Oryzias latipes: one gene and its partner. The protein of the gene in region 1 interacts with the protein of each later gene in a biochemical or structural test. Links are inferred from orthologs where the notes say so. Each region holds a gene or a part of one and is shown on either strand. Other genes may lie near its edges. The genes, in order: araf and gna12.

Region 1 (9,987 bases):
ACCCACAGATGGATGTTTATAAAGAGAGGTCTGCACTAAAGTCTGTACCACACAGTTTTAGAAACCTGCATGTTTGAATGGATTCCACCATCTGGGTGTCTAAATCAGAACTTTGGTTTAAATAAAGAACTTTTGGTGAAAAAAGTTTTGTGCACGAGCTTTCAAACAATAATTATAACGATGAAACTGAAGTGAGCTGGAGGTTTTTAAAGCAGACAAAACTAAATATAGTGGTTAAAAACAAAACAGATCCAGTTGAGTCCATTTCATAAAAATGTTTTACTCGTTTCAGTTCCAAATCACCTTGATGAGTTTATGTTAACCTAAACTAGTCTTGCTGTGTGTGCTGTGGTTTTCAATCAGGATGTGAGGGGGGCATACAGCAGATAGGGGGGCTTACCCTTCCAGGAGGCGGAACACGGCGCAGCAGTCTTGGCTGAGGCCTCGCACTTTGAGAGCTTTATCCAGACTCTCGTACACAGTCTGACCTTGGCGGACGTTGACCTGCAGACACACACCGCGGTGAAAAGTTCAAGTTTCCCTTTGATCATCTTTTGATCTACTGTAAAAGCCTTCCCACTGGCCTTTTGATAGTAATTATGTCGTTTCCAGCCTAAATTTTAAAAAAAAAACTGTCATTTTCTAAAGAGTTCATTAAACGATTCCCATCTGCATTGAGCGACTGTTGGTGCAGTACAAGCCTGCCCCTACTTCCCGTCATCCATTTGTTTATAGCTATCCAGTCGTACAGTTTAGAGCCAGATTCCAGCTCTGGCGAGGAAAACAAAGACGTTCATGGATCCATTTGTCTGTCAATAAATTACTGCTACAATCTTTTTCCAAAGGCATTATTCATCTGCTCCTGATTCATAATGATTGGAATAAAGAAATTCTCAGAAATCCAAAATTAAGGCTAATTTTTGTAACCCTTGTGCTATCTTAGGCACTTGGGATTTGGGTCATCTAGACCCACTAGACAGTGCGCTGAACCTTTTTTCTTCAATGATTTGTGATCTTCACTGGTGATTAAAGGTTAACCCTTGTGCTATCTTAGATGTCTTATATTATATTATTATATATATAGATCTTATATTGCGTCCGTCGTCAGAAAAATGCCACAAGAACATTTTAAAAACATAAAAAAGACCATTTTCATTGGAGTGGGCATTTAAAGACACCTGATGGTCAAAACAAGCAGATGGGGCAGATTCCCACAACGGCTCAAACAGACCAGGACTTCAGCTGTCACAATCGTTGAACTTTGCCTCCCTGCCAGGTGTGTATGTAGCCTTATATGCCCCTGTGTTCTGACGCACTCCTAAACCAGAGTCAAAGTGGTTCAGCACCAGCCTCCATCCACAGAGGCTACTGACCAGAGTCAAAGATGGGACTATAAGCCATGTTCCTGAAGATCTCAATGTCATCATCTTTGACTACTCTGCTCTTCAGACCAGTTCTCAAGGCCAGGTACCTGCAATCCTCCTCACATTCAGATGCTGCAGCTAGACAGTCATTCTGAAGGTATCCACAGAAAATAACCTTCTGATGGAGGTAGCTGTGAGGGGGCGGGGCTCTGGCAGCTCCTTCATTAGAGAGCGCCCTCTTTCTTAGGGATTACTTTATGATAATCTCTGCAAACCTGCTGTCAAATGTTTTCAGTGGCTTTTCCTCTCAACAGCTACAGATAGCTAAACCCCGCACTTGGGAAAAAAAGAGGTAAAAGGTGAAAATCATCGGAATTCCAAAGACGCTTTAAGCTGCAGATATCAAACTGAACTTTGTGACGCTTTCATGTCAGAGGGAGAGGAAAAAACCCCCTTTGCATGCTGGGAATTTTTGTTTGGAAAGGTTAGGTTTTTCAGCAGCAGAAGGGAACAGGAAGAACCTGATGGCACAAACATGTGTGTTTGCTGTTGTGATGTGACACAAACACTGATATGACAACACAGCGGAACATGAGATGGATCTTTGGCGTGTGGAGCATGAAGGATGGTGGCGGCGGGATCGTCTGAGACACCTGATGCCCGCTGTGCAGCTTGTGAGCACAAAAAAATATTAAAAGCAGAACAATTTATCAGTCTTGGGTGTGTTATTAAGACAAGTGGAAGCTGTTTTTAAACTACAATGAAGATCCTCTTGGCTCTTTAGTCTGTTTAACACTTGAAATCATCATAGCGTCAGATATGACTGTTGTTCTGGTATCAGCAGGCTCAGGGTGAAGGGAATCAATATAAATATTTTTGGGGAAAACGTAAAAAATATCTCAGAAAAACTTTCAGCGCAAAGAACTTTAGCAAACTTTAAGCTGGAGAAATGGTTGAAACTAAGAATCTTTAAAGAACATCAGCTTCTTTTAATTGAAATCTTTCCTTTAAAAGCAGCTTGTTGTGAGCATTTAAGTTTGTTTCTTATGTTAAAATTAGTTTTTATGCATGAATTGTGAAGGAGCTTCGAGACACGAACAGTTTGATCAGATTTTTACCTGGTAAATAGATCATAAGAAGTATTTTTTAAATTATATTCATACCTAGATACATTAAAAACAAACCAATCAATTGATAACTAACCGTCTGACGCAACAGTTCACATCAGATAATTTTTGATAGTGGACACTTTGTCAGGCATTATCCCTTACATGTATTAATAATACATTGCTATTTACCTTGGTAACTAGGATTATATGTTTTGTTTTTTTCAGTATTTATATAGTTTTTTAATATCAAAACATGTTTTCCTTTTTAGGCTCGTTTCTCTCATTTCAATTTTTTAGTGAACAAATTCATAAAAAAAAAGATCTGTCAGATTAATTCAACATTGAATTCAACATTTTAGCCATATTTCCAACCAATTTTGCAGGTTTTTGCATTCATCATCTTTCTTCGGCATGCCTAATTTTCTTTGGTGCTTTAGCTTCAGTTTCTAGCCTCTACTGTAAACATTCACACATCTATTATCAGAGAAAAATGCAGTTTTTCATGTTAAAAGCGACAACAGAAAAGGAGTTCAGAGTTAGGCAAGTCTCTTGGATCAGAGGCTAAACGTCTTCAACTTGAAAAAACTGACTCTTTTTAGAACCGTTTCTGCTGCAGAACCACGTGGATGAATGAATGTTCATAGATGTGCTACAGATACGTTTTTAAACACATTAGAACCAGTGCATGCGCAGTCGCCTCACCACTGTCCTCTGTTTGTTGGGGAGGTAGACTCGGATGGTACCCCCGCCCCGAGGCACATCCTCCGGACTGGTCTCCCCTGAGGAGGAGTATGAAGAGGAGGTGGAGGACATGATGAGAGGCAGGTGGAGCTGGGGGTGGGGGTGGGGGGGCAGCACTCAAACTGCAACCTCAGGAGAGCTGCAGCATGCACAGGTGGGATCCAGAGAAGCCCTTCACTCAGAACCTGCAAACGCACAGACACAAAATGTAACAAGAGTGCAGGACGTTCAAACCTTGAGTACACAGTGATTTAATGAAACTTTAAAGTCTGAATGCTTCTTCATAGAAATAAAAAATGCTTTGTAGTCATGCAGAAATGTATTTAAAGCCCCACTACAGTCACCTTCTGATTGATTTTGTATAAGCGTTCCCAGTGGTCTTTCAATCATGATTATGCCGTTTTTAGCCAAAATAAAAAAAACTCTCGCCCGCTGGCGTACAGCCCCCCATACCCCCAAATTAGGATTTTCGGTGCAACAAAAATGGCGAGCAATATCGGAGCTATCCAGTCGTACAGTTTAGGTCCAGATTCCGGCTCAGACGAGAAAAACGGAGACGTTCATGGGTCTGTTTGTGTAGAAGTGGATGCGGAGCAGGGAACTTGCAGTTTTAACTCCTACGACAGATTTAAAGCTTTTTCCAACTTTTTTATGTCTACTCCTGATTCACAATTATGTGAATAAAGTAATATTCAGAAAAGTTATTAAAATCTTAAATTTTCTTAATATATGTTCTACAATGTTAGGAAAGAAAATGCAACAAACTCTTCTGAAACACCAATATCTTCATTTTCATTGGTGTGGTTTTAAAAAGGAAAAAGGTTTTATGATAACTAATAAAAAATGTGGATTATTTTAACATAAAGAAACCAAACCTTTTTTAAACTGATTTGTTACATGCATTTGTTTTGTTTACTTTGTGTCAGAAGTAAATAGAAAATATTGCCTTAACCACATAAATGCCTAAAAATGAAGCAAACCAATAATATTAATATACATGTAAGTGGGTTTGGATCAACCAACCGAACTCGTTCAACCAGAATCCATAATCAAGAGAAAATCTCTGGGAATATACTCGGGTTTTTTAGGCGCACAGGGCTCCGTCTGAGTGACAGAGCCGAACTCGGGTAAGACGCAGCTGGGTTTCTGTCAGAACCTTTGGGAGAGACCCACGGTACCGTGTACCGCCGCATCCCGGCCGCTCAGGCGCTTCACGTTTCCCCCTCGGCCGCAGCGGCGCAGCCTCTGAGCAGCCACACACTTTCAGTTGGGAGGCCATGTTTAAGCCGAGGCGCCCGTTACCACTTCAGCTAACTAGCCAAATAAGTTTGTTACGGGTCTCGCGGAGGTCAAAAGTGACGCCCTGGAAACTTCTATGACATTATAGCAATCTAACCTGAGTGGGGGACTCTGCTGTGTCCGCTCTGAAAGCTGCAGAGCTCCAGGAGCGGAAGGAGATAATCCCGCTGCCGCACACACTTCACCGCGAGCCGCTCTGATGCTAGGCGGCTAATGTTAGCTAACCTGCGGGTGTAACCGCGGAGTCGGTTCAGAAGCTCCCATTAGCGCCGCTTACTGTAACCAACACTCGCTCAGCTGACAGGCCCGCACCCATCCAAGCCGCCGCGCCACGGCGAAGACCCGGCCGACTCACTTCACGGTGTTTTGGAGCAGTTCACATCCAAAAGTTCGGTCTCACCTGAAGCAGCCATCTTGAATTGTCTCAATCTGAAGTCTGTCAAGAAGTTCGGGAAAGCGGAAAAACTCCGCGGCGCTGCCTCCTGATTGGCTGATTCCAGCAGCCGCGTCCTCCGATTGGACAAGGACACCTGCGGGTGTTGAGAGGTGGGCGCTGCGAACTGACTTGTCACGTAAACGAGTGATTGTTAGCATCAGCACAGAATGAGGGTGCAAATCCCGCGCAAGATTTTCAACATCTGCTTATGCAACATGAGATGGGTTTTTTTTTCAAAAAGTTTTTTTACCAATGAAAAACACATAGAAAAACGATAAATTTAATTAATTCTTGAAATTGCCTCATGTTTTCAAGTTTTAGCGACATAAATATAATCCTACCATGAATTTTTATTTTATTTCTAATTCTGATTTTTATGAGGGGAAAAACAGTCACTTTGCACTTTTATCCCAAAAGTGTTTCCTTGTGCAGGCAGGTACATCTTTGTAGGTTCATCTGTGTTTACCAATTGTTTGCTCAGGGGTTCAACTGTCAGGCTGTTATATTCATTGTGTGTTATAGCAAGGCTTCAACCTTTCCCAAATGCAGAAACGGATTTGAAAATAGCTCTAGATCAGGTGTGTCCAAAGTCCGGCCCATGGGCTAAATTCAGCCCGAGTTCAATCTCCCTCTGGCCCACAGGCATTTATCTAAGAAAAATAATTGCGATCAAACTTGTTAATACTTAAAATTCCTTAAGTGTAATCATTTTAAGTTTTAGAGACATAGATACAATCTTATTGAATTTATAGAGCAATTTTTTTCTAATCTGTATTTTTATGAATAAATAGGCACTTTCTGCTTTCATCCCAAGTTTTTCCTTCCAGATTTATCACAGCACATGAATAGCTCAGGACTGGCACTGTGCACCAATTGGTTGCTCCAGGGTTCAAACTGCCAGGTTGTTAGACATTGTATGTTTTAGCACGACTTCAACCCCACATTTTCCCAAACACAATCCCTTTCAATCAGGCATGTCCAAAGTGCGGCCCATGGGCCAAATGCAGCCCGCATTCAAATATGAACCGGCCCGCAGGCTCCTTTCATAAATCAATAATATGTGGCCCCCCGCCTTTTCTAGAACCCGTGTATGATTTCTTGATTGTGGTTGATATTTTAAACCTTTGTTAACCTGTCGTGCAACCCCTCTGTGAAACTTTCTAGCTCATTTCTGAAATGCCACCAGGAAATAAAAAAGCAAAGTTGACAGTGAGGGCCACTTCCTCCAGGACAAGTGGAAACCGGCAGATTTTTTCAGCGAAACATGAGACAACAGTGTCTGCCTGATATTTCAAGAGTAGCTGGTCAATAGAAAGAGGGGATACCATACAAGACAAGCAAAAAATTGTGATTTTTGTTAAACATTAGTTTGAATTGACAAGTATCCCATTGCAATAAAATATCCATTTGCATTTATTGTTCATAAAATAATTCAAAGAATCCTGGTCAAATGGTTGACCCTCACACATTTTCACTTCATCAAATCTGACCCTCTTTGATTAAAAACTAAATATATTGTATAATGAGACAATTTAGAAGCAAGTTTTAAACAAAATCTTCCTTAAGATGAAAAACAAGACGGCAAAATAGAATTATGTAATACAGTACAAAATGAAATAAAAATAAATTAAAAAATTATACAAATGCATTTTTATTTCTGTCATACAACTACGCTGCAAACAAAAATTTGAATTTAGGCTTTATTTTGGAAGTATAAAACATTAAACTGAGATGAAATAAATAAGATCTGACACATAAAAGCTTCTCCTAGAGTTTTAAGTTTTGTCAAACTAAAGCTGATTCTGCTTAAAAGAAAATAAAAAAACAAGAGCCTGTGGATTTTAGCTGAAAGGTTTTTTAATTACAAAAACAGCAACAGATAAAATAGTCCATCCATGGTGACCGAGGTCCCGTTAGACCCTTTTTGCTGCATAAAGCCATCGTTGTTCAAGAGTCCGTCGTGGTCTTGGAACTTCTTCTCACTGCACGCTGAGGAACCTCCTTTTCTTCGCCGTGTGCGTGAAGCCGTGCTGACGCCACTCCACCTCTGCCGTGTTCTCGTTTTCCAGAGTTCCCAGTTTGATCATGTACACTGAAGGTAAAAACAGAGGGACTTTAAAGCCGCTCACACGAGCGCAGCGGGAACTTTCCTCCCTCCAAACTTACGTTTCATTTCAAACCTGGGTCCCACCTCCGTCAGCTCCACATTCCTGTGGTCTGTCTTCTTGTAGGTGTGGTGTCTGAGGGAGAAACAGAAGATCTGGGTTGTTTTCCAGAGATGCTGCATTCTCATCTCTGACTGAGGGGCGGGTCCACACCCACCTGAAGGAGATGAAGTCGTCCTGGTTGGCGAATGTGATCACTCGCCTGCTGTCGTCCTTTGGCACTGGAAACAGGTACTTGAGGATACTGGAGACCTGTAGGGGCAAAGGGCATCACAGGCTACGTTCACACCAAGCATTATTCGCACATGTCCAGTTCATTGGCCATATTACTGGACTAAATGTCCCCTCTCCCATGGCGTTCCAAACAGGAAGTACCCGCTGGATCAAAGAAGCCAAAATCACATAGCGAAATGAACAGCGATAACTCAGTCATTCTATTTGTCAGAATAACCATTCTTGCTCTCCTACATATTCTTGCTAATCCTAATTTTTTTCATGATATAATTTGTTATTGCAAGTTATAAACTGACCAATCAGATGTCTGAATGAAAGTATAAATGTTTGACTGATTCTCCTGAGGACGCCTCCCAGTGGTAGCGGTGTGGACTTCCAAGAAGCCCCCTCCTGATTGGTGAGAGAGGTTGCCATAGAAACCCTGACTCAGACCAACTTGGACCAATCACTGTTTACTGACGTCGACTGATTCTAACATGGCGACGGCAGTATTGCTGGAAAAAAAAAAAGTCGACTGAATTGACTTCATTTGGTTGGAATGGTTGACGCCACACTCAGTCCAGTTCTCGTATACAGTCAACGGTCCAGTTTCAATGTTAAGTCAATTAACAAAAACAATCAAGAGGTCCTGCGACGCGTTTTGACCGTCATGCGCCGCATTTTGTCACCAGTGAACTTCAGGCGTTGCGGCGCAGTGTTTTCACATTTTAAATATCTGAACCTTGGCAAAAAAGACAAATTGAGTTAGCCAATCAGGGACTCTGCTTTGGCCCGTGACGTGTTGATGATGTGACCAGCGGGTGGCATCCAAATCTACATGGAGGAAAATCTGATCGTCCTCCTGAACTTTATGATACTTTTGTTATTTGCACCGTAAGGTCCTGTAATTTTATTCGATGTGTATCTTTTCCCTCCCACCAAGTCGTCAAACTGGGTCACAGAGAGACAGAAGTAGCGCTGAAAGCGTCCGTCATTCAGCTGCAGCTCCTGCAGTAGATGGTGAATCTCACCGTCCTGGGAGGGTCTCTGATTGATCTCACAAACCCAAACATGGATCACTGTACTGCCGTTTTTTTAGAGCTTGTTAAAAATAAATAAATATGATCTTTCAACATCCTTTGAGTCTTCCATGAATTAAAGCTGCATCCTTCAACAGCCACATCCTTCCCAGGCGACGTTGGCCGGGTCCTTCTTTGAGCGGGTAGGCCGGATGTTAACGACTGTGAATTTGGACGAGTCTAGCCTTTAGATGATTGCAGCCATTACATCGGCGAATGTCCTGTCGCCTAGAAACTGTGAGTCCGGAACAGAAAGAAGTAGCGAACCAGGCATGGAGCGCAAAAATTTCCTGTGTTATTTGATCCAACTTTTAATCTTGGAGGAGTAATTATAAAAAGGTGTAATTATTCCAACTCCAGGTCCCACTTCACAGTCCGTCATTGTTGTCAGAAAATCTCCAGGTTTGGCTGCAATGCATCTTGGGATATGGACAGCATAGAAGAATACAGCAGACCAATCCTTGAAATTTGGGAAGAAAGAGGGCAGTGCTGGATGGCCGCATTTGTGGGAGTTGCTGAATTTGGACAGCACTTCAAATGCAGCCCAGGAAGAACGCAGACCACCAATTTGGACACAACCATTGCTTCCACGTAGCGATGTAGCTCCTCCCACATGCGGTGGGAGTGTCATGTTTATGAGAACATCTCTGGATAAGCATCCAGCAGCAAATTTGACGCAAGTCAAAAGAGCGGCAGCGGACACAAATCCACGTTCGGTGTGAACAGCTGTGAGGAGTGTGCACGGGGCGGCCCCACCGCTTACCCTCCTGCCGAGCCGGGAAGTGAAGTTGTGAAAAATGAGGTGGGGGTAAGCTTCAGACATGGTGCCAATGTCAGGAACGTCGTGCCTCATCACCACGTTGTAGAGCGTGAAGTAGGCTGTGGGTCCGAAGGGGAGGTGGCACACCACCAGGCCGTCTGCAGAGACAACAGAGTTTCTGCAGGACTTAACCGCCACCAAGTAGTCTAAATAACCAGCACCTGGTTAAACGCAGGAGTGACGCTGAACGAGCGCATACCTGGCTGTCCTCTGGTCTCGTGCACAATAACCAGGTCTGTCACGTTGTTGGCCTTGCAGGCTCGCACCAGTGTTGGGAGCTCATGGTTTCCTCTGTTCATGCGCTGCGCCCCGGGAAACATCAGCTTTACCTCCTGCAGAGAGGACAGTGAAGGCATCATCCTGGTGCACAGCCTCACAGAAACACTCACCCTGTTTTGTTGTGATTCAACCAACTGGAAAACTTATTTTAAAGAGGTGGAAGCTCCTGTTTCTCTAGAGAACAGGACCGTCAGACATGAGCCACATCTGGATCAGGATGGATCCATGTGGTGTCTTCACTCTGGTTTCCGTCAGCTCAAACTTCCAAGGTCATCTAAAAACTTCCTGAAGTGTGACTCAATTCTTCTTCTCTGTATTCATCCTCAGGACTTCCACTGCAGAGCTGTGGACAAACTGAACCCACCTTGGCGAACATCTTGAGTCTGGAGCTCGGGTCTCTGGATGTAGTGACCATGATCTTTGGGTCTTCCACTCCGGCCCATTTGTACTCATCGTCCATGTGGGAGCTAACACCTGAGGAG
Region 2 (9,527 bases), on another chromosome or scaffold:
AGCATCAGTAGCTCCAACTGGTACTTGGTAAGGGGATATTTAAGAATGTCCGTCATTATTTCTTCGCGGCAGTGTAGACGCTACTTGGCGTCTATCTTCTTCGCTGGTATGTGTGCTCAGAAAGGCAGTTTTGTGTTTGAGCGCCCCCAAGTTGTGTTTTACTGTAACTTCAGAAGCTCCAGACACGTGTGCAAAAGCGCAATTCTCATTGGTCGAATAGATTTCGACGCAACGCGTCGAAAAAAAAAACGAACCAGAGGCGTTTTTTTTTTTTGGACGCTTTGGCGCGTGGCGTTTTTTCGCGTCGGTGTGCACACTCTCATTGGTGCCCTTTGTTTAGTAACGAGGTGTTTCGCCGACGAAATTCGTCCCGGTGTTAACAGGCCTTTAGAGGGTTTCAGGTTGGAGCACAGACTGAGGAAGGAGGGAATAAAATGTCACGTCTTGATCGTGTGGCCCGATTAAAAAAAACAAAAAAAAACAAGGGTCTCTGATATTGTTCAGTGGGCCGGACCAAAGATGGAGGCGGGCCGGATCCAGCCCTCAGGCCGCAGTTTGCCCACCCCTGCTATAGACCATATTTTGTGAGTTAACAAATGTTTCGTTTTATCACCGGAGTGGAAATTGAAGTTGATGGAAAAAGGTTGAAGCAGCTTTTTGTAGCTCCGTTGGTTAGGTCTTGTAGGTGGAAAAATACGACATTTTATTATTAGAATATCAACAAGAACTTTCAAAGCTTAGACTGGTTTATAGTGGAGGATGAAACTGTGGCTCAAAACGGCTCATAATGTTCAACGAAAAACATTAACCTGACAAAAATTGATGAAAAAAAAACTTTGTGAAAATCAATCAATGGAAATGAAGCATTCCTGTTATTATAAAGCTCTTTAACTGAATCATTTAGAACAGCATTTTGTGATGACAGCCTCTTAAATGTAGCATTCGTTGAACTGTCTGTAAGCCTTTTCCTGCAGCTGTTAGCACAAAGTTTCCAGCACTGACACAAAAGACGTGAGTTTTAATGAAGCTTCATTTGATGGCGTGCAAACCCAGCCCCATATCCAGTCCAGTCTAGATGGAGTCCCCCTCCAGGCAAACTTTCAACACCTTTCCTCGTATAGAATGTCTCTTTGTTCCACATGATGCCTCTTGTACATCGACTTGTTACCTTCTGGGAGACGTCTGAGTCATTTCCAGTCAAGAGGGAACTTCCTGGTTGAACCCAAGTCAAATATTGTCAGAAGTGTGAATCATTTCAGTGTTGACCCTGTATAGTGTGAAGAGCAAGACGAGACGCATCTGACCCAACGATGCAGAGGACTGCACATTTTTTACCATTAAGATTGAAGTATTTTATTGAAATTAGACACTATGAGTCGATGTTTTAGAGTCTTTTTACATATAAACTTCTTTTAGAAAGTCTTGATGAAGGGGCTTTTTCTATTGATAGGTTAGTTCCTTATTAAAAGTGAGCAGCCTGAATTTCTGTTGATACCATGATTTCTGGGTCACAGTTTTGTTCCTGTGAGTATAAAGTGTGTTTTACAAAACAACACAAATTCACAAAATTATTTTTCAGTAAGCTTATATTAAGCCAGGTGTGAAGGAAAAAAACTATAAATAATAAATCCTTCCTAGATTTGTTACAACACATGTTTTTGACACTTTCAACCTAAACGGTTTATTTTAAGTATCACAATTTCCAAGAGACTTAATTTGGGGTTTTTCAAAACATTTCCTGTGAGTTGTTCCAATCAAAAAGTTTTCTATTTGTCAAACTGAGTTACCGAGTAATGATAATATTCCGATTTATTGATGTGTACCTTCTAAAAATCAGAAATGAATACATGCGACGACAAGAAAAGCAAAAACGTTAAGTCAAATTCTAAAGAAAAAAGGAAGGGCTTTACATTTGTCAGCACGAGACAGACTGGTTCATTTTTCTCTTCTTCAAGTTTGTTACAGCCTCAAAACCTAAAGTGGTGAAGTTTATGAATTTGGCAGGATTAGTCCTACCCGGAGGGTATATCTGACTCTCATAACCCTTGTGCCATCCTAGCCACTTTAACATTGGGAGTTGGGTCATCTAGACCCACCAGACAGTGCGCTGAACTTTTTTTCTTTAAAGATTTGTGACCTTCACTGGTGTCCATGGATTACATGAAATCTTTCCACCTTTATCCACCTTTGTCATGGTAGGGAGAACACGTCAATGGTCATCTTGACTCCATAGGATAGCACAAGGGTTAAGATCGGGTGTCCACATTTGGTTTATATTACCATAGTAGTTAATTCTGCTTAACTGGAGCCATGTCAAAGAGAATTAGAAAAGTCATATCGATCCATTTTGTTGGACTTTTTTATATCGCTTGTAGGAGGGGCTTGTGAAACCAGACTTTCATAGGTCGCTTTTATTTTGGAGAGTCCGCTGGAATTCTGTTTGAAAAAGCATCAAGCCAACAGCTGATCAGAAAAAGAGATTCAGGCTTTCACGTGGCTTTTTTTTCTTAATTGTTATGCTGACAGTAGGCACTGTACGATTGACCATCCCGCTCCGTATCCGGATTACTCCCACAGATCTCCACAGACCATTGGGGATGATGGTTGGACGGTAACAGTCGTGATCAGTTTTCCTTCAGTCTCAGTGGTGCATTTTATGAAAGAGCGGGATGTGAGTAGACTAGACTAGGAGTGCCTAGATGGCAGCTCAGAGCGGTGATAACAAATGTGACGTCTCTAGAAAGACCCACAAACATCACTCACTGTTTGGATGGAATGAAGTCTTGTGAGGACTCAAAGAAGCTCGGACTCTTTTGCAGCTTCAGGCAGTTTCGTTCTCTTATCTTCTCCTTCTGAAGTCGTTCCCTAAAGCTGAGGTCTCTGCTTTCCAGGGCAGGTGACATGCTGACTGCTCTGAAATGCTTTAACAGCTCCACTCTGGTCTAGAAGGTGGAGTTGGCTTTGACTTAAAACTGCAGTTAGAAGCTTGATGATAGGAACATGTTTTTTTTTGGCCCTCTCTCAACTTTTGGAATTATGAAATGGACAAGGAAGAGGCACAGGATCTGAGGCTTACACAAAGCTGTCTTTGTGGTATACTGAGGAAACTTTATTGTTCCCACAGTTGTGGCTCCATTTCAAATCAATGGTCATATGATGCCAACTGAATCCTTAATTGCTCCACAGATAAGACTTGGAGGAAACACACATACAAATACACACAGAAGTAATATGCGTGTTCTTCCAGGTCTTGATGGAGGACCGCAGGACCAACCGTCTTGTGGAAAGCATGAACATCTTTGAGACCATCGTTAACAACAAGCTCTTCCTGAACGTGTCCATCATCCTCTTCCTCAACAAAACAGACCTGCTGGTGGAAAAGATCCGAACGGTGGACATCCGGAAGAACTTTCCGGAGTTCAGAGGAGACCCGCGCAGGCTGGAGGACGTGCAGGTACACAGCTCTTTTGCTCCTCTCAGTGTGTGGATGGGCTGTTCCAGAATAAAGCCAGTCTGAAAACGCCTATGCCTCCGTGGTTGCATTTTGGTACAAAGTTAGAGTCGATGGAGGAGGAAAGCCATGTCTGAATAGTAACTATAACTATCACAGATAAAAAAGAAAGATTTAGAAAGAAAGAAATGATATTTACCACTTTAAACAATTTGACATTTAAAAGTATTTTTGTCAACTTCCTGATTAACTCCTAGAGGAATCAAAGCATAGACATCACTGTTGTTTAGGATCACTTAACAACAAATCCTGAAAATATTCTCCACAGTTTTTCCATCCTCAAAGCTTTGCTGACTACATTTCCAGTAGATCGATGACAAGCAGATATTAAATAGACACAGGAATACCTAAATAAAAATGTAACAATTAGGAAACATTCACAGTCCTCTCATCCAAACTGACAACATTGTTGTTTTATAAACGTTCACATTTTAGATCAACGTTCAGCAAACGCTTTCTGGTACGACTTTTCCACGCATGACGTCATTGATAAAAATGTTTTTGTATTATATTCCTAAATTCATATTCATTATTTTTATTTAAATTGTCAGTTTTTCAGAAGTCATTTCCATAAACTGAACTTTAGTCTCATTTTTGTCATCTCCAGGAAACACTTGATACTTTTACTTTGAAAAGGAGAACCTTCATCGACATTTTACTTTGAAGGTTTATTAGCATCCTGGGACACTAGTGTTTAGGATTTGTTCAAAAATTCAACATTATTCTGCATTTTAGGGCGATAATTACCTTGTCTGAAGTGTATTTTCACTACACTCTACTAGCTTTATAAAGATCGTGAATCAGCGATCTTGGACCTCGCAAATATTCATTCTCAAATTTTTAGGGACAGAATGCAAATATTGGAGTATTTGGATACTCATTACAGCCCCAGTAGCTCAGATCGTTATGTGCACCTCAGAGATCCCTGTGGGACGCGCTCTGACCACTCTTGTTAGCAGCACGTCTGGTCGGCCTGTAAAGGACTGATCTCCATCTCCAACTCGTCCTCTGCTCCTTCCAGGCGTTCCTGGTGCAGTCGTTCAGCCGCAAGAGGAGAAACCGGGGGAAACCACTGTTCCACCACTTCACCACAGCAGTGGACACGGAAAACATCCGCTTTGTCTTTCACGCCGTCAAAGACACCATCCTGCAGGAGAACCTCAAAGACATCATGCTGCAGTGACTGTCTCGCCATCCAAGACGGCTTCTCTGAGAGTAACTGTGAATTTAGGCTTTGAGGACTCCTGAAGCTCTGCTCACGCTGACACCACACAACCATGACTGTGCATGGGTGCAGCAGTCAGACTGAACCCCGGTCCCGTGGAGACTCAGCTTTTAACCTGTGGAAATGCGTCTGAGAGTCTGAATGTGTGTAGGGGGGTGGGAGTATCATCAGCGTGAGCGCGGAAAGTGTTTCTTCCTTTTTGTGTAAATAAAAATCCTGACAGCCGTGTCACTAAACGCAGCCAGACTGCAGCTCACGCTGCGCAGAGACAGAGCGCCAGGAGGAAGAGGCGGGGCAAAGGTTTCGGAGGCGAGCGCAGCAAAGTTTGGAAGTCCACGTGATGGAGGGGTGAGGGCGCGCACTGGTCATATGCCGTGTTGTGTGATAAGGTTGCACAAGTGCTCTTGTCAGGGCGGTTCGGCAGGGAAACGGGGGGGAGCGAGTTCTCCTGTGACCCCTGTCCTCTTCGTACGTCCGCTCTCATCTTCCCACCGTCGTTTAGAGGAGCAACAGCTGCGGAGAACAAGTCCTCCTCTCTGAGGGTCTCCCTGCGCTCCTGTCAAGCATAATAGACAGATTGTTCATCTGCCTCTCCAGCAGAAGCGGGAGACGCCTAAATGGGAGATCTTTGTTTAAGCACACACAGATCTTAGTTATGTATTACTTACGGGCTGTCTCCTTACCCCAATCCCTCCATTTCCTCGCAGCTGTACCATTGATCCACACCTAACTCCAGGCGAGAGCTTTCTGCTGCGCGGTGAGACGGCCGGCTGCCGTTTCTGTGCTGAACATGCAGGGGGAACAGCAGAAAGAGACGGAAGTGCCTCTGCAGGCGTCAGGCCTAAAGCTATGTTCACACTGGCCTCTGCAATGCATGTTCAAACGAGAGGGACCTGACTGCAGACAAGACGGCGCCTGACATCATTTGTCGGAAGGGGAATTTATACAACTTGTCTAAACAATACCCAAAAGTGTAAAAAAAAATTCTTAAGGCTTAACACAAGAAAACCCGCCAGTTGAAATTGTTGCAGTTTGGGAGTGCTTTCAGTTCTGGTGGAGGACTTCCGGTTCTGTACGTTGATGTCTGTAGCCAGGTCTTCTTGGTTCAAGCGGCCACTTCCAATAAAAGGTCTATGCAAACGTGCGTAACTGCACTTTTTGGGCTTTCACGTTTAAAACGCTTGCGTTCACCTCTCGCGATTCAAGTTACTATGACTGTTTACTGTTTCTATGTCCGTTGAACGCGCGTTGAAAGTTGAACCAGGTCAAACTTTGACCAATCAGGGACTCAGATTTGGTAGTGACATATGAATTACGTCCCTTTTCATTCACAGAAGTGCCAACTATTTAAAAAGTGATCATGGAAGACAAATGAATATCGGAATAGAGCTGTGAAAGAAAAAGCCTGGAGCCAGATTTGCACTGCTTTAGCATTTCGAACCAACTGAAGGTGGCAGACATGCGCTAGTAAACAGTAACAAAAGAAGAAGAAGAAGCCCCTCCCTGCTTGTCCAGTGTGAACATTATGGGCTAAGCATGCATTCAAGAACTTTGTGTGAACGTAGAAAGCAACAAAAACGCCATCCAAACACGTCCGACAGAAAAAAACACACCAATACTTCTTTAAATTAGCATAAAAAAGAGCTGGAGATGTTCAAATATTCAGCTGTCCTTTCCTCAGATCTGGCCTGAAGCCGCCAAAGGTCAGCTGAGGACACGGAGCAGTTTGAATGTGATCGCAGATTAGCGGCTCTTCTGAAGCACAGCTGTCAAATAGATCACACTTAGGAAAAGGAAAACGCGGATGGACGTGGGCACTTCCTCCGTTCGTTACCGGGGTTACACGACCGCCTCTGCGATCCGCTGCGACCATCTTGAGTGAATGAATTCAACTACTGTGTGACAAAAAGCACGACCTCTGGAGAGGCCTACTACACTTCAGCCATTTCCATAAAAGCTTTTCTCAGGTAGTTCTGACCAAAACATTTCCAAAGGAGTGTGAATATCAGTCCACACTAACAAATTATGGGAATTTGTTCTTGTTCCCATTTTTTATGCGTAGCCCCAATTCTGCTTCCTCTGGTTTATTATTTGAAAGGCAATCCATTTCTTTATAAACACAAACAACAAAACAAGCCTTTTAACCACTATTAACCGTTGTGCTATCTTAGATGACCCCACCCTTACATTGACGTGTTCTCCCTACCATGATAAAGGTGGAAAAATTTCATGTAATCCATGGACACCAGTGAAGATCACAAATCATTGAAGAAAAAAGGTTCAGAGCACTGTCTAGTGGGTCTAGATGACCCAACTCCCAATGTTAAAGTGCCTAGGATAGCACAAGGGTTAAAGGAAATTGCTAAAAATCTGCATTTTATCCACAAAAATAATTTTTCTGTGCAGAAATTTTTTTTTAAACCGGTTTGTTACTGAAATGTTTTGTTGTTTTATATTCATTTGGACTCAGAGGCTTTAACAGGTTGGAGGTGAAGTGCTCTTCCTGGTTTTAGGTTGAAAATCTGTCAGCAAAAACCAGACGGCAGACTTTTGTCACACCACGCTGCGTCCCATGGATTTCCTTTCAAAAACATGTCTCCGTGCTCGGCACACTCCTACTTCCTGCACATTTGAAGCTTGTAAATGAATGACACTGTAATGTTCACCCACAACTGTAAGTCTGTAACTGTTGCTGTAATGTTTGTTCTTAACTAACCTACCTTCCCCACTTCAAAAGTGTTTCTTTTTTTTTGTACTTTTTTTTTTTTTTCTTTTTAAGTGTGTCATTGCACTGGATGTGTGGGAGACGGGGTGGCAGGAAGGGAAAAGCGTCTGAGGAGGAAAAAAAGGCAATGAAACAAATAAACGGGGCCAAACAGGAAGAACCCGGAAGGTCGTTTGGTTTTTGTTTTACAGTGCCGACACGGCACGCTTCTTTGTTTTCATTTCATGTTTAAAGAAAGAAATGCTGAAAAGTGTGGAAAATTTTCACACAAACCCCCATAATGTCTATCATTAACCATCTGTTTACACTAGAGGCTTTGCTTCTGATTCCGGACATGGGACGAGTAATGTCGCCCCGATCCGCTGCAGAGGCGAGCTGTGGGCCCTCACCCCCCAAAATGTAATATGACGCTCATTAAGGAGGGCTATCAGAGCGCCGGGCCTGAGAGCCAAGCTGAAGTTTGGCCATATCTTCGTTACCCAGCAGAGCCTGACCTTTGCTTTGGCTTTTTAATCAGTGGAGCTCCGCCGTACAACAGCCTCCTGAGGCAGGGAGGGGTGCACGACCAGCACTTCTAGTTTTAGAAATCCCACTTCCACATAGATTTGCACCCAAAAAGATTTAAGGTCTATACCAGTCATGAGAAACGTCTGACAAACTGTGAGATGTGTGGCAAACACGCACAGAAAAACATGACTTTGTGAACATGTAGGCTCAGACGGGGAGGGACAGACAAAAGGAGGAAGAGTAAATACAAGAAAAAGTAAGAGCGTGGAGGGAGGAGGAGGAGGTTCTGTTTCCTCTGGAGTCCGCTTCCCTCCCCGAGCCTAAAATGGAGCGGCTGAAGCAGCGACATCCCTCCCTCCGCCTGCTTTCAGCTCCCAAACACACATCAGAGGGCAGCCAACCCGCCTCCCCAGCGCTGCTGTCCTGCAGAGGAAGAAAGCAGGAAGCTGGGGGGAAAAAAAACAATCCCTCCCCAGTGGTTTCTGAAACGCTGAAAAGCACAGCTTTCCTGAGGCGGGACATTTTGTTCTAATGTTACATTCGGTTTTATCTGCAGCCCATCAAACGCAGGTTTTCCTTTCAGAGCTTTTTGTTCCAAAATCACAACTTTTAGCTCCAGAAAAGACTTTTATGTTGATTGTAATCTCATGCAGCACAGTTTTTTTCTGATTTTTTTTTTCTTAAATTCTTTTTATATATATATATATATATATTATAGTGAAAAAGCAAAGCTGGAAAACTTCAAACTTTTTGCTGTCACTCTGAACCTTCAGGCATTAGGAAGCCTGCGCTTACAAACTGCACTGCAAAAACAGATCTTTTAGAAAGAAGTCAAAAATTCTTACCCCACAGGCAGATTTTTTGTAAATAAGCACAAAAAAAACTGCCAGTGAGGTAAGGATAATATTCTTACCAAGAATTTGTATTTTATAAAAGTAATTCTAGTCACTGAGACGTTTTCTCAAACTACGATTATTTTGATTAATGAAAAACTTCAAACTATTTTTTCATAAAACAAAGTCTTTTTACTTTCCTAAGATTGACTTTTTGCAGTGTGCATGTTTATTGCTGTCCCATTGTGGCTACACTGCTGTCAGGACGCCAGACACAATCATTTTCTTCTCTTTTCTGTTTTTTCTTTCTAACCTGCGGTTGGTGGATTTTAATCTCCCAAGACTTTGTGAACCTTTTTTTCACACCAACATGCTGTCACTTTAATCCGCTTTTTATTTGCTTTACACTAATTCACTTAAACAAATCAAAGTCCTTTTTAAGACGGATCATTGTAACGCTGTGACTTGCTGTAGGCTGCGAGGAAAGCCGGTTAATGACAGTATAATTAAGCTGCTGCTGCTGCTGCTGCTGCTGCTGCTGCTGCTGCTGCTGCACCACATAAATCCTCCATCCAAAGGTTATTGCTGTACCAGCTGCAATATTTCACACACAATGTGGTTTCACAAATGCATTGGCTGCTTTGAAATGATCAGAGCTGCCTCACCAGTGTGTTGGTTGATTTGTGTGTGTGTGTGTGTGTGTGTGTGTGTGTGTGTTTGTGTGTA

What was found.
Region 2: the proteins of araf (region 1) and gna12 form a complex in vitro, tested with the Homo sapiens proteins (2 studies listed by BioGRID). The link is inferred for Oryzias latipes from reciprocal best matches to the Homo sapiens genes ARAF and GNA12.

What each region holds. Positions count from the first base shown.
Region 1 is NC_019867.2:28,402,377-28,412,363, reverse strand, and holds the start of araf (serine/threonine-protein kinase A-Raf), read right to left. Parts: upstream 5,030-9,987; 5' UTR 4,914-5,029; intron 4,877-4,913; exon of another isoform or gene 4,611-4,876; intron 3,400-4,610; 5' UTR 3,287-3,399; coding exon 3,176-3,286; intron 505-3,175; coding exon 401-504; intron 1-400. Other genes in the region: U3 small nucleolar ribonucleoprotein protein IMP4, read right to left, coding at 6,929-7,041, 7,116-7,189, 7,272-7,366, 9,170-9,324, 9,426-9,558, 9,870-9,979. UniProt on the Homo sapiens protein: Involved in the transduction of mitogenic signals from the cell membrane to the nucleus. May also regulate the TOR signaling cascade. Phosphorylates PFKFB2.
Region 2 is NC_019859.2:21,405,653-21,415,179, reverse strand, and holds the end of gna12 (guanine nucleotide-binding protein subunit alpha-12), read left to right. Parts: intron 1-3,247; coding exon 3,248-3,454; intron 3,455-4,532; coding exon 4,533-4,694; 3' UTR 4,695-7,628; downstream 7,629-9,527. UniProt on the Homo sapiens protein: Guanine nucleotide-binding proteins (G proteins) are involved as modulators or transducers in various transmembrane signaling systems. Activates effector molecule RhoA by binding and activating RhoGEFs (ARHGEF12/LARG).